4 linked regions of the Saccharomyces cerevisiae S288C genome follow. The protein of the gene in region 3 binds, or shares a complex with, the protein of the main gene of each other region. Each region holds a gene or a part of one and is shown on either strand. Other genes may lie near its edges.

Region 1 (3,391 bases), on a different chromosome or scaffold from region 3:
CACCACTTGGTCTCATTCAGGGATGTACAAATAGCAAGATTTAGACGTGTAGCGGGTCTGCCAAATGTAGATGACAAAGGAAAATCTATAAAAGAGAAAAAACCCTCATTAGATGAAATAAAAAGTATAATTAACAGAACTTCCGGTCCATTAGGACTGAATAAGGAGATGTTAACCAAAATTCAAAATAAAATGGTAGATGAGAAATTCACGGAAGAAAGCATCAACGAGCAAATTCGTGCCTTGAGCACTATAATGAATAATAAATTCAGAAACTATTACGATATTGGCGATAAGCTCTATAAACCTGCAGGAAATCCCCAATATTATCAACGGTTAATAAATGCCGTTGACGGTAAGAAAAAGGAAAGCTTATTTACTGCAATGAGAACTGTATTATTTGGTAAATAAAGAGCACATTATTTTCTAAGCTTGTAAATACATATTTATTCATAATGGAGAACGTTATTCAAATTTATCTGTGAATTTCTTTACTCGAGGTATACTTCCGCAAAGGAAATTCTACTTAGCAAATCCTATGGTAACGTCATTGTTTTGTAGCTTGTAAGTGGAGCCTAACTGATTCTTGATTTTCGTAGCATCAGCAACGGTCTCGTATTCCACGAAAGCTAGGTTACGAACGCTAACTAATCTGATTTCAACTAAAGCCTCATTGCCAAGTATTTGCGACAATAATTGCTCGGTAGTGCCGCTTGGCAAATTTTGTATAAGAAGGACTTTGTTCGGTGGATTTTCCATTGTATTGGACACTTTAGCCCGCTTAAGAGGTTTCTGCGATTGTTTTAGATTTTCTTGCTGAGACTTCATGTTTTCCAATCTACGGGTTTCAAATTCTTTTACAATCCTATCAATCTCAGCCTCCTCTACCTTTCTTGATCTCAGCTTATGCTTCAGGCGTCTTATTTGCCTTTTAAGCCTGAACTTTTTGGCGCATATATCATCACTACGTAACTTGCGTTTAAGTTTCCTTGCTTTAAGCACCTTCTTTATATCAAGGTTGTACGTTTCGTCATTACCTTTTTTTTTTTGCATTTCTATTGAAAGACCCAATAACGAATTTGTTCGAGCCTTTCCCATTCTCACTTTACGACCTTGAACTTTTAATGCTGTTGTCGTGTATTTTTCTAGAAACCGGTCTGCTTCTTCTTGAGTGACAAACGTTAAAAATGCTTGGTTAGTCATCTTTGATGATCTTGAAATAGAAACTTCAAGAAGGCCCATTTGATCATCTAGTAACATCAGCGGTTGTGATGATATTTGTAATTTATTGTGGGGAAGGGGTAGCGACGGATTAATGGCATACTTGTTGTTGGGATTAATGTGTTTCAGAAGTAATCTGGTATAATTTTCTTTATTTGCTGGCCTACTGGGTAAATTTTGAAAGTACAGTCTGTTTTTATTGGTCATAGAGTATAGAATAATGAAAACGTTAGTAGAAAGAAGATTTAAGGAAACGTAAATTACAAGGTATATACATACGCTGACATGGTTTCTTTAGGTTTGATGAGGCCGTCTTTTGTTGATAGCAGCTTTTTCCATTTTTTTTTTTTTTGTTTCGAGTAACGTATGGTTTAGTATCTGTCTTCTCCTTCTCTTACAAAAAAACCCTTTGTAAAATAGTGCCGAGTTGGAGGACATCAATCTGATGGGCAAGAAAACACCAACCCCCCCTATATGAAAAGAAAATGATAAGCAGATAGATAAAAATACTTAATTAACTAATACATAAAAATAAGAGGTATATAAAAATATTATATGGAAGCAATAATTATTACTCTTATTTCTTAGCAGCCTTTTGAGCAGCCTTGGTAACCTTAGCGGCCTTTTCAGTCTTGTCAACAGACTTGATAACACCGACAGCGACAGTTTGTCTCATGTCTCTGACAGCGAATCTACCTAATGGTGGGTATTCACTGAAAGCTTCAACACACATTGGCTTAGATGGAACGAACTTGACCAAAGCAGCGTCACCGGACTTCAAGAACTTTGGATGGTCTTCCAACTTCTTACCAGATCTTCTGTCGTTCTTTTCCAACAATTCGTCGAATCTACAAGCAATGTGAGCAGTGTGACAATCCAAAACTGGAGAGTAACCAGCAGAGATTTGACCTGGATGGTTCAAAACAATGACGGTAGCGTTGAAAGAAGCGCAACCCTTTGGTGGATCGTTCTTAGCGTCACCACAGACGTTACCTCTTCTGATTTCCTTAACGGAAACGTTCTTGACGTTGAAACCAACGTTGTCACCTGGAACACCTTGTTCCAATTGTTCGTGATGCATTTCAACGGACTTGACTTCAGTGGTAACACCAGCTGGGGCGAAAGTAACAACCATACCTGGCTTGATGACACCGGTTTCAACTCTACCGACTGGCACAGTACCAATACCACCGATCTTGTAAACATCTTGCAATGGCAATCTCAATGGCTTGTCAGTTGGTCTAGATGGTTGTTCAATGGCGTCAATGGCTTCCAACAAAGTCTTACCCTTGACGACACCGGCCTTGGTTTCCTTTTCCCAACCCTTGTACCATGGAGCGTTGGTGGTAGCTTCAATCATGTTGTCACCGTTCCAACCAGAGATTGGGACGAATGGAACAGTCTTTGGGTTGTAACCAACCTTCTTGATAAAGTTGGAGGTTTCCTTGACAATTTCTTGGAATCTGGATTCGTCCCATTTGACGGAGTCCATCTTGTTGACAGCAACAATCAATTGTCTAACACCCAAGGTGAAAGCCAACAAAGCGTGTTCTCTGGTTTGACCATCCTTAGAGATACCGGCTTCGAATTCACCGACACCACCAGCAATAATCAAGATAGCACAGTCAGCTTGAGAAGTACCAGTAATCATGTTCTTGATGAAATCTCTGTGACCTGGAGCATCAATAACGGTAACTTGGTACTTTGGAGTTTCGAACTTCCACAAAGCAATATCGATAGTGATACCTCTTTCTCTTTCAGCCTTTAACTTGTCCAAAACCCAAGCGTACTTGAAAGAACCCTTACCTAATTCAGCGGCTTCCTTTTCGAACTTTTCGATGGTTCTCTTGTCAATACCACCACACTTGTAAATCAAATGACCGGTAGTGGTAGACTTACCAGAATCGACATGACCGATAACGACAACGTTAATGTGAGACTTCTCTTTACCCATGTTTAGTTAATTATAGTTCGTTGACCGTATATTCTAAAAACAAGTACTCCTTAAAAAAAAACCTTGAAGGGAATAAACAAGTAGAATAGATAGAGAGAAAAATAGAAAATGCAAGAGAATTTATATATTAGAAAGAGAGAAAGAAAAATGGAAAAAAAAAAATAGGAAAAGCCAGAAATAGCACTAGAAGGAGCGACACCAGAAAAGAAGGTGATG
Region 2 (2,532 bases), on a different chromosome or scaffold from region 3:
TATTTGTAATAAGAGAAAGCTTACCATTTTGCAGAGGATGGAAAGACTTAGGTCTATAAAATCAGCCAAATGGGAGAAATTGAAAAAATTTGAAAGCACTCTGATGCTTATGGGAAAATGTGTTCCTATTAGCACAAAGACTAAGACAGATATGATAAACCGCATAAGACAGCTGGCTGTCAGAATGGACTGGTTAATCTACGAAATTAAGAGAAGCGAGCTGTTTGTAAGTATCATAAAAGAAGTGACTCGCAAGCAGGCTGAAAAGAATATCTTAGAGCATGGTAAAGGAGAAGAGGAGGGGCAAGGCAATAACGACGATAGTGATGGTATAGATGATATAGAGGAAAGCTTCTTATTCAACGAGAACAGTTTGCAAGTGTGCGTGAGCGACAGTAGTTACGACGAATATAGTAACGAATAAGGGGAAGAAAATAGTACCATGGGTTATAAATGCATGTTATTTATTTATATATTTTTACATATTCTATATGTATGTGTTATACCTTTTTCTTTTTCTCGAAATGTCTATCCAGTCTATTGCTGCCAAGGTTTAAGATCCTAGGACAGCCATCTTTATCTTTACCTAAGCGGCAGCACTCCCAACAATAGAATGCGTCATTGACTCCAACATTTAGATTACAAATTATACAATTTTTAGCTTGTTTACCAAACGAACAGTTTTCACATACTCTAACTTTCCTTTTGGGCCTTACATAAGAGTCGCAGATAGGACATTTGCCATCACATTTTTCACAAAGAAGACCTGTCTGTACACCAGGCTGCTTTAGGCACATTATTAGATCAAACTGATGGCGGGACATGTTTTTTTTGTTGGAGGCTTGTATGTGTGTGGATCTTTTTTGTATCCATCTTCATTTTCTATGTTGAATGCCTTAGTAAGTGAGAAATATGGCAAGTAATGCATATATGGAAGAACAGAAAGTGAGAAAAAAAAATAGAAAAAAAGATGCAAGGAGTTGAGCCAAGGGAGAGACCATACCCTCAGCCAAATATCCAAATATCATATAAAAAGATGGAAGAGTGTCCTATTTGTTTGGCAGATGACCAAGAGGGTGAACAATTTGGATGTTTGAACGTTTGCGGGCATAAATTCCACTTAAACTGTATAAGAGAGTGGCACAAGTATAGTATCAACTTGAAGTGCCCCATCTGCAGGGTTGAATCCACCCATTTAGAAGTTGGCGAAGGGCAACATGCACTTTCTATAAATTTGAAGATGGGGTTTATGATTAAGAATGCTATCGATTATGTGGGGGCCGAAACAACTAACGAAAGAAATGAGGACGATACAGGGGAGCAAGACCAAGAAATAGAATTTCTCAGCGAAAGGCTTAGAGGTACGCTGGTGATGGATACCATTAAGATAATTCAGTGCAGCATATGCGGAGACACAGATGTTTCTCGATTAAGCCTGTATTGCCAAGACTGCGAAGCAATATATCACGAAACATGTCTACGCGGGCTAGCTTGTGAGGTGGGCGATCGCAATACGTGGCAGGAGTGCACAGATTGTAGATCAAATGCATTGCTCGAGCTGCGCATGGGTGCTATCAGTAGCCAACTTGCTAGCTACGATTCCAGGAATTCCATGATTTTTGCTGGTGAGTTACGGGACAAGCACAGCGTCAAGACACAGCAGATGTATGAACAGATACGGAATGCCAAGCACAAAATCCAGATGCACGTGCGACGAGCACTGGACCGGTACCCACTGCCTCTGCTGCGCTTCAAGGATGCCTACAAGCACGTCAACAAGCAAGTATCCCGCAAGTTGTACCGTCTCTCTGACAACAAGTACCTGCCTGACCAGTACGATTACGACTCTTTAGCCCGAACTGGAGTGCACACAGAACTCCTAATTTACTGTCATGATGAGTAGTAATGCAATATAACATTAAAACAAGATATAAACAGTATAATACTCTAGTATGAGCCCTAAAAAAAACCCTCAGAAGCGGGTGACCCATCTCTCGTACGACGTATAAAAGCACAAGTTTGACCCATAGAATTTTTTTTTCACATCTTCCTTTGTTTGCTTCTTCGTCTTCAATAGAAAACAGTTGAACAAACTCAAATATAGCACCATTGTGAGTGCTACTGCACTACAAAGAGGCAGATTAAGCGACCAGTAGGTCCCTTGGAAGAGATAATATATGAGTTCCTTTTTTCTTTTTCCATTTTCTTTCTGTGTGACTCCCCTATGATTAAAAATTATTAATCATATACCAATTGTTCCGACTGAATAGTGGTTTAACTACATGTCGACAACCCTTTTTCGTTAAGTTTCAGCCTTGTATGAGGGGTGCCACGGAAGGGAAGAAAAGAAAGCATTTATCTTTCATTATTATCTTTTTCATGCCTGCAATGGAATTTTTAATTTTCCTTTTGATATGATGATTTGTTGTCGACCGGGCGGACATATTAGTATCTGTTAAAGGGTCGCCGTCTACTCTCATCGTTCTTTTGTGTACAAATTTTTTAAAGGAGCGATGTTGATGGCATTATGGT
Region 3 (3,055 bases):
CACCTTTCGATCTGCCCGGCGATGTAACACCAGCACCCCTTTGATCAAACGTAAATGACTCGTAACCATTGAGTGATAAGTGGTCCATAAGCCGGAATTGAATCTTTGTGTACTCGCCAAACCCATGAATCAGTAAAACTCTACCTCTGACCTCATTGGTGCCATTTTGAACAGGCCAGAACATGTACCCGAACTTAGCACCATCAAAGTTTTCGTATTGAAGTTCAGGTACTGTCGTCTGCACTTTGTATGGATACGGAGCCATGCTTTTCTATTTGTCCTCGGTTTGTGTGGCTTTGGCTTGCTTTAGTCAACAATGGCTTTTCCGATATGTATTCATTTATAAGAAAATTCAATGAAAAAACGGCCAGACACTTCGAAGTCCGAAGGGGCTGTCGCCCCTCGTAAGTAGCGATGGACGCTATAGTGTGGAAGCAACCACAGTAGCACAGCATCACAAGAGATCATGATACCAATCGTACGTTCCTTACTTTTCTAGGTCATTTGAGAGACTTTCCTCGTTTTATAACTATCCCTAACGGATTCGTACGCACAGAGCTTTTCTTCTGTATTTTTCCCTTAGTGGATGTAGGATTAAACAACGGAGTTCTCTTCTCATCGTTGTTATTGCCAGGTTTATTGGTACGCTGCCTGTGATTGTCAAATACCTGATCTACGAGGTTGTCCAGATCATCAGTCGTTACTGCTTTTTCTTGTTGTGCGTGTTTGCTGCGGTTTATCATTTCAGCTCTCTGGCTCATTTCAAGGTTTTTTTTCCTTAAATTTTCAAGTTCCTCATCATCCTCTTGCTCTTGTTGAATTTTGGCTAGTCTTTTTTCCAGCAAATCCATTTTGTCATCTGCTTGCTCCTTTATACCCATCTTCTCGTTCTGCTCCATTTCCTTCTCTCTCACTAAGCGTTGCAGTGTCTCGTCTATGCTTTCGACAGCTGTTTTAGCGTTCAGGTCATCATTTGGTTTCTGAGGGACATAGTTTCTTACGCCCCCCACTTCCATTACATAATCTGAATTACCGGGGTCTGTTCTAAATGCAATGGAATTGGCACAACGTGGACATGAAATGGTTAGTCTATATATCTTAATGGAGTCCAGGTACTTCTCCTTCAGTAGCTCTTTCTTACCATTGAATTTTCTGCTTTTGGGAATATATTCGTTACATTCCAAACACCTCATACTAAATGGGGTCATTAATCTAATCGATGCGTGGCTCTTATTCATGGTTTTCAGTTTTTTAGCCATTTTCCTGGATAGCTTTTCAGCTTCCAGTGGGTTGTAATCCGGTGGATAGTACTTGTTAATAGCTTTTCTTTCAGACATTCTTGTATTCTCCTATCAGCCTGGAAACGGTTAATTTGGTTTGACTTATTAGTTCGTTCTACTGAGGTCACCGTAGTGATTTCTTGCTTTTTTTCGAATATGTACAATAAATAACAACTCTATGCGTATTAGCAGTCAGTGGAACAAACTTGAGATAGCTACTCTTATCTCCTTTTCTGTATATCCATCTTTCTACATGCAGCAGAGAAACCGCCGGCGGGACATTCACCTACTTTTCTACAAGTTTAAATTTTTCAAGCGAATCGGGGAATGTGAGAGCTGCATGCAAGAAAAGGAATGTAGGTAGGAGGACAATGTAAGAGAATATTATGGGCCATTTCATATTACATTACGCTATATGTAAGTGATCATTATGTAGAAAGCTATATTGAAGGAAATAAAACATGCAGGTTTTGTTCTCGTACTTACAACAAGTAAGCAGCTGCGACCGCTAGAGCACCAGCACCCATGCCGACGGCAGCCTTGGCACCTGCATTTTCTGTTTGTTCGTAAACTGTGTTTGGAGCTTGGATTTGTCCATCAGTAATTTGAGAGATAACTGAAGCAGTTGGGGAGCTAGCAGAGGAAGTTTCCACAGTAGTAGAGGTCTCGACAGATTCTATACTCGAACTATGCTTTGTAGAAGATGATGCGGAAGCAGACGAAGCAGAAGCAGATGAAGAGGAACTAGAGTCGCTTGGAGAAAAATCTGCTGCAACAGATCCGCTCTTACTAGTTGGTCTAATCGCAACACCGGTAGCGTCGTCGGATTGCTTAGAAGAGAAAATGTAAGACGACCCGTCCTTGATAGCGTAGAAACCAGAAGAGCTCTTGTAGTTTAGATGGCCATCTTTAATAGAAAAACCAGTGGCAGCATCGCTCTCAGAACCTTCTTTGAATGAGCCATCCTCATTGACAACAGCATACTTATCGTCGTCAAATTTCAGTTTACCGTCATCGGTAATAGTTGCCTCAAATGAGCCACTACCGCTGCCAAGTTTCAAAGTGCCGTTATCACTGTAAACACTCAAGTATTGTAAATCCGAGCCGGAACGGATACTCACCAGGCCGAATTCTTCGGAATCGGCAATGACCATCTTAGCCAAGGCGAATAAAGCGACAGACAAAGCAGTGGAGAATTTCATTATTGTTTTTTGAGACTTTCGTAGTATTTATTAGTTTGTTACGGGATATTTTACTTCAGACAGAAAAAAAATTCAAGGAAGATAGCGAAAGAAAGAAACGTTAAGATCGTCCTTTAAATAATTGAGATTTTGTTTGTTTGCTTTTTTTTTTTCTGCACCACAAATTATCAAAATTAAAAGGTGAAAAAACACTACATTGAACGTGAACCACAGAGCTTATTGTTTGTTGTTTTTTTTGTTTTCTTTTGTGGCACCTTCGAGATGGCTCTCCTGGAGTAAGTTACCGTTGTGGGACAACCCGCACGCACAGACGTAAGCGGACCCGTATTCCAATCGGGCCGAAGGGCCCTTTTCGTTCAGGGAGCTGTGGCTAACGCTATTTTTAGTTATGACGTACGGTGCGGCACCATCTATAACGCGAAGAAGTACTTTTTTTAGCTCTCTTTTTTTGTTTTCGCGGGAGGGGTTTGTTTATTATGATATTTTAACGGGATAGAAGGTCGAGCACACAATGTTTGCCGTCAAGAGGGGTATCTGCTTCTATATTCGTAACTTTCCAGATGTCCGATTTTT
Region 4 (3,210 bases), on a different chromosome or scaffold from region 3:
CAGTAAGTCACGTAGACCTGTATCGGCAGTAACTATGGTATTTTTTCCAGATTAATTATTATACGATGTTGTTACTTCGATAAGGTCACAACAGGTTTTCCATTGTTGAGAAACTGACTTTGATTATTATTTAGTTAGTAGGCAACTGTCATGTTGCAACCACAACAAGCAACAATCCTTTCACCATGACTATTATAAGCGGCCGGCAAAATTGCCGGGAAAACTGCCAGGGATATAATGCAACCTTCATTTGAGCACTTAAAATAGAAGATAACGTTGGTAAACCCCCCTTGATAGTGGACACATCCTACGTAGATCTCTCTACAGCCAAGTCGTATATATAGCAGCAAATTGCAACCAACCACATGGGACATAGGAATGAGTGGTTTTCTCAGACCCTGAACGTGACCGTCCATCATGAATTTCTCCACAGTTTTTCAAGCAATAATCGCGGTTTTAGGTTTAACTACAGTCACAGCTTTAGCAGAATTTGATTTCGACGTAGGCTATGAAGAGTTTGTCCGTACCAATCCTGATACGATTTTCTTAGAGAGTGATATTGGCCTGCACGTTGGATATACCGAGGGTGGCGAACGACAGATAGCAACGATACCACACAATTCCACGCTAGGGACTTCACTACGTGAGTATAGTGGCTGTGGTGGTAATGGTACAGAAACCTCCATCGCTACCCCCGCACCTACAATGAGTGAGGTACCTATCGCTACCTTCGTGAAACGTAGAAAAAGTGTACCTATCTTGCTACCGCAGGTATGTATGTGAAGAGTTGGTGAATTTTGAGATAATTGTTGGGATTCCATTTTTAATAAGGCAATAATATTAGGTATGTAGAATGTACTAGAAGTTCTCCTCGAGGATTTAGGAATCCATAAAAGGGAATCTGCAATTCTACACAATTCTATAAATATTATTATCATCATTTTATATGTTAATATTCATTGATCCTATTACATTATCAATCCTTGCGTTTCAGCTTCCACTAATTTAGATGACTATTTCTCATCATTTGCGTCATCTTCTAACACCGTATATGATAATATACTAGTAACGTAAATACTAGTTAGTAGATGATAGTTGATTTTTATTCCAACAGTATGGGAGGTATATGAACCCCTACAACCACTCATTTAGAAGTGGGGGACTGTAGTTCTTTTATGAAGTAACGAAATTTTATGAAGTAACAACAAATGTTGTTAATTGTAATCTTAATAATCTAACATTTAATAAATCTTGACCTTAGACTTTTTTGTCTATTCATAATATGCTGATATTACTTTTCTTAAATATAAATATAATCTATATAATATTATTAACGAAATGTAGGAAGCTAAAAAAAAAAAAAAAAAAAAGAAAGAGACTTTTATGCGTATATTTAGGTACCCCGGTACTTACTTCTGTATATATAAATCAGTGAATCAATACATATTTTTTTTTAATGTTTTGTCCTTATAACGCGACTTATTCAAAAGAAAAAAAGAAGTCCCATGCAAAAATCTTGTCATTATTGCGAATGGATATATCAGTGAGACCTTTTTAAGGTTGTAGGGAAAAGGAAGTACGCTTCATTACAATTTCGTTCATGTCTTGCTCGCCTACTTGTTTTGCTCATAAATCCCATCAGCACCATTGTATGCGCCCTTCGTAGGAAATTAACGCATCTGAAGAAAAAAAGAACTGCAAGATAATGACACACAGCACGGTCATCGACTGTCGAAAGGAAACCTTAAAAAAGTAATCGGCACCTCAACCTTGATGAATTATAATCTATCCAAGTATCCAGACGACGTGTCGAGACTTTTCAAGCCAAGGCCACCTTTATCTTACAAAAGACCAACCGATTACCCATATGCGAAGAGACAAACAAATCCAAATATCACTGGCGTTGCAAACTTACTATCAACCTCTTTGAAGCACTATATGGAGGAGTTTCCTGAAGGATCTCCAAACAACCATCTCCAAAGATACGAAGACATCAAACTTTCCAAGATCAAAAATGCTCAATTGTTAGACCGGAGACTACAAAATTGGAATCCTAACGTTGACCCTCATATCAAGGACACAGATCCCTACAGAACGATATTTATTGGGAGGCTACCATACGATCTTGACGAAATTGAACTGCAAAAGTATTTTGTTAAGTTTGGCGAGATCGAAAAAATTAGGATAGTCAAGGACAAGATAACCCAGAAGAGTAAAGGCTACGCCTTCATAGTTTTCAAAGACCCAATAAGTAGTAAAATGGCATTCAAGGAGATTGGAGTACACAGAGGTATCCAAATCAAAGACAGAATCTGCATAGTCGACATAGAAAGAGGCAGAACCGTTAAATATTTCAAGCCAAGAAGATTGGGCGGCGGCCTAGGAGGCAGAGGCTATTCCAACAGAGACAGCAGGCTTCCAGGAAGGTTTGCAAGCGCAAGTACATCAAATCCCGCCGAAAGAAATTATGCTCCCAGGCTGCCACGCAGGGAAACTTCTTCCTCCGCATATAGCGCTGATAGATACGGCAGTTCCACATTGGACGCGAGGTACCGTGGAAACAGGCCATTGCTCTCCGCCGCCACTCCTACTGCTGCTGTTACTTCTGTATATAAATCTAGAAACTCACGGACTCGAGAGTCTCAACCAGCTCCCAAAGAAGCGCCCGACTATTGAATATAAGTAATACTTAAACTCTGCTACTTGTTGTCTATGATTACCCGCACATCAGTTAATTTGGATACTTTTTTCCCTTTCTCAGACTTTGCCCCTATAACAAAATAAGAGAAAAACAGCCCGCATTTAACACAAGATACTATAGCAAAGGAGACCAGAGAAGACTCAACACAACACACGCGAACGATCAAGCAATGGAAGCCGATTGGAGGAGAATTGACATCGATGCATTTGATCCAGAGAGTGGCAGACTAACCGCTGCCGATCTGGTACCACCATACGAAACTACTGTCACATTACAAGAATTACAACCTCGAATGAATCAATTGCGCTCGCTTGCCACAAGTGGTGACTCTTTGGGAGCCGTTCAATTACTCACAACCGATCCTCCATACAGTGCAGATGCTCCAACAAAGGAGCAATATTTTAAGAGCGTCCTTGAAGCATTGACACAAGTCAGGCAAGCCGATATTGGTAATGTAATCAAAAATTTGAGTGATTCTCAGAGGGACGTGCTGGTAAAGTATCTCTACA

What was found.
Region 1: YJU2 (region 3) and MUD1 share a complex: the UniProt entries of both Saccharomyces cerevisiae proteins name them as parts of the spliceosome.
Region 2: YJU2 (region 3) and RDS3 share a complex: the UniProt entries of both Saccharomyces cerevisiae proteins name them as parts of the spliceosome.
Region 4: YJU2 (region 3) and SNP1 share a complex: the UniProt entries of both Saccharomyces cerevisiae proteins name them as parts of the spliceosome.

Annotation. Positions count from the first base shown.
Region 1 is NC_001134.8:477,455-480,845, reverse strand, and holds MUD1 (Mud1p), read right to left. Parts: upstream 1,509-3,391; coding exon 1,501-1,508; intron 1,412-1,500; coding exon 523-1,411; downstream 1-522. Other genes in the region: CBP6 (Cbp6p), read left to right, coding at 1-411; TEF2 (translation elongation factor EF-1 alpha), read right to left, coding at 1,799-3,175. UniProt on the Saccharomyces cerevisiae protein: Involved in nuclear mRNA splicing. The principal role of the U1A is to help fold or maintain U1 RNA in an active configuration. It is the first snRNP to interact with pre-mRNA.
Region 2 is NC_001148.4:718,929-721,460, reverse strand, and holds RDS3 (U2 snRNP complex subunit RDS3), read right to left. Parts: upstream 825-2,532; coding exon 501-824; downstream 1-500. Other genes in the region: Arf family guanine nucleotide exchange factor SYT1, read left to right, coding at 1-424; ubiquitin-protein ligase ASR1, read left to right, coding at 1,037-1,903. UniProt on the Saccharomyces cerevisiae protein: Required for pre-mRNA splicing. Involved in regulation of drug sensitivity and may play a role in multidrug resistance.
Region 3 is NC_001143.9:260,559-263,613, reverse strand, and holds YJU2 (mRNA splicing protein YJU2), read right to left. Parts: upstream 1,338-3,055; coding exon 501-1,337; downstream 1-500. Other genes in the region: YJU3 (acylglycerol lipase), read right to left, coding at 1-265; CWP1 (Cwp1p), read right to left, coding at 1,763-2,482. UniProt on the Saccharomyces cerevisiae protein: Part of the spliceosome which catalyzes two sequential transesterification reactions, first the excision of the non-coding intron from pre-mRNA and then the ligation of the coding exons to form the mature mRNA.
Region 4 is NC_001141.2:244,123-247,332, reverse strand, and holds SNP1 (U1 snRNP complex subunit SNP1), read left to right. Parts: upstream 1-1,773; coding exon 1,774-2,676; downstream 2,677-3,210. Other genes in the region: YIL059C (uncharacterized protein), read left to right, coding at 418-783; YIL060W (uncharacterized protein), read right to left, coding at 507-941; ARC15 (Arc15p), read left to right, coding at 2,871-3,210. UniProt on the Saccharomyces cerevisiae protein: Involved in nuclear mRNA splicing.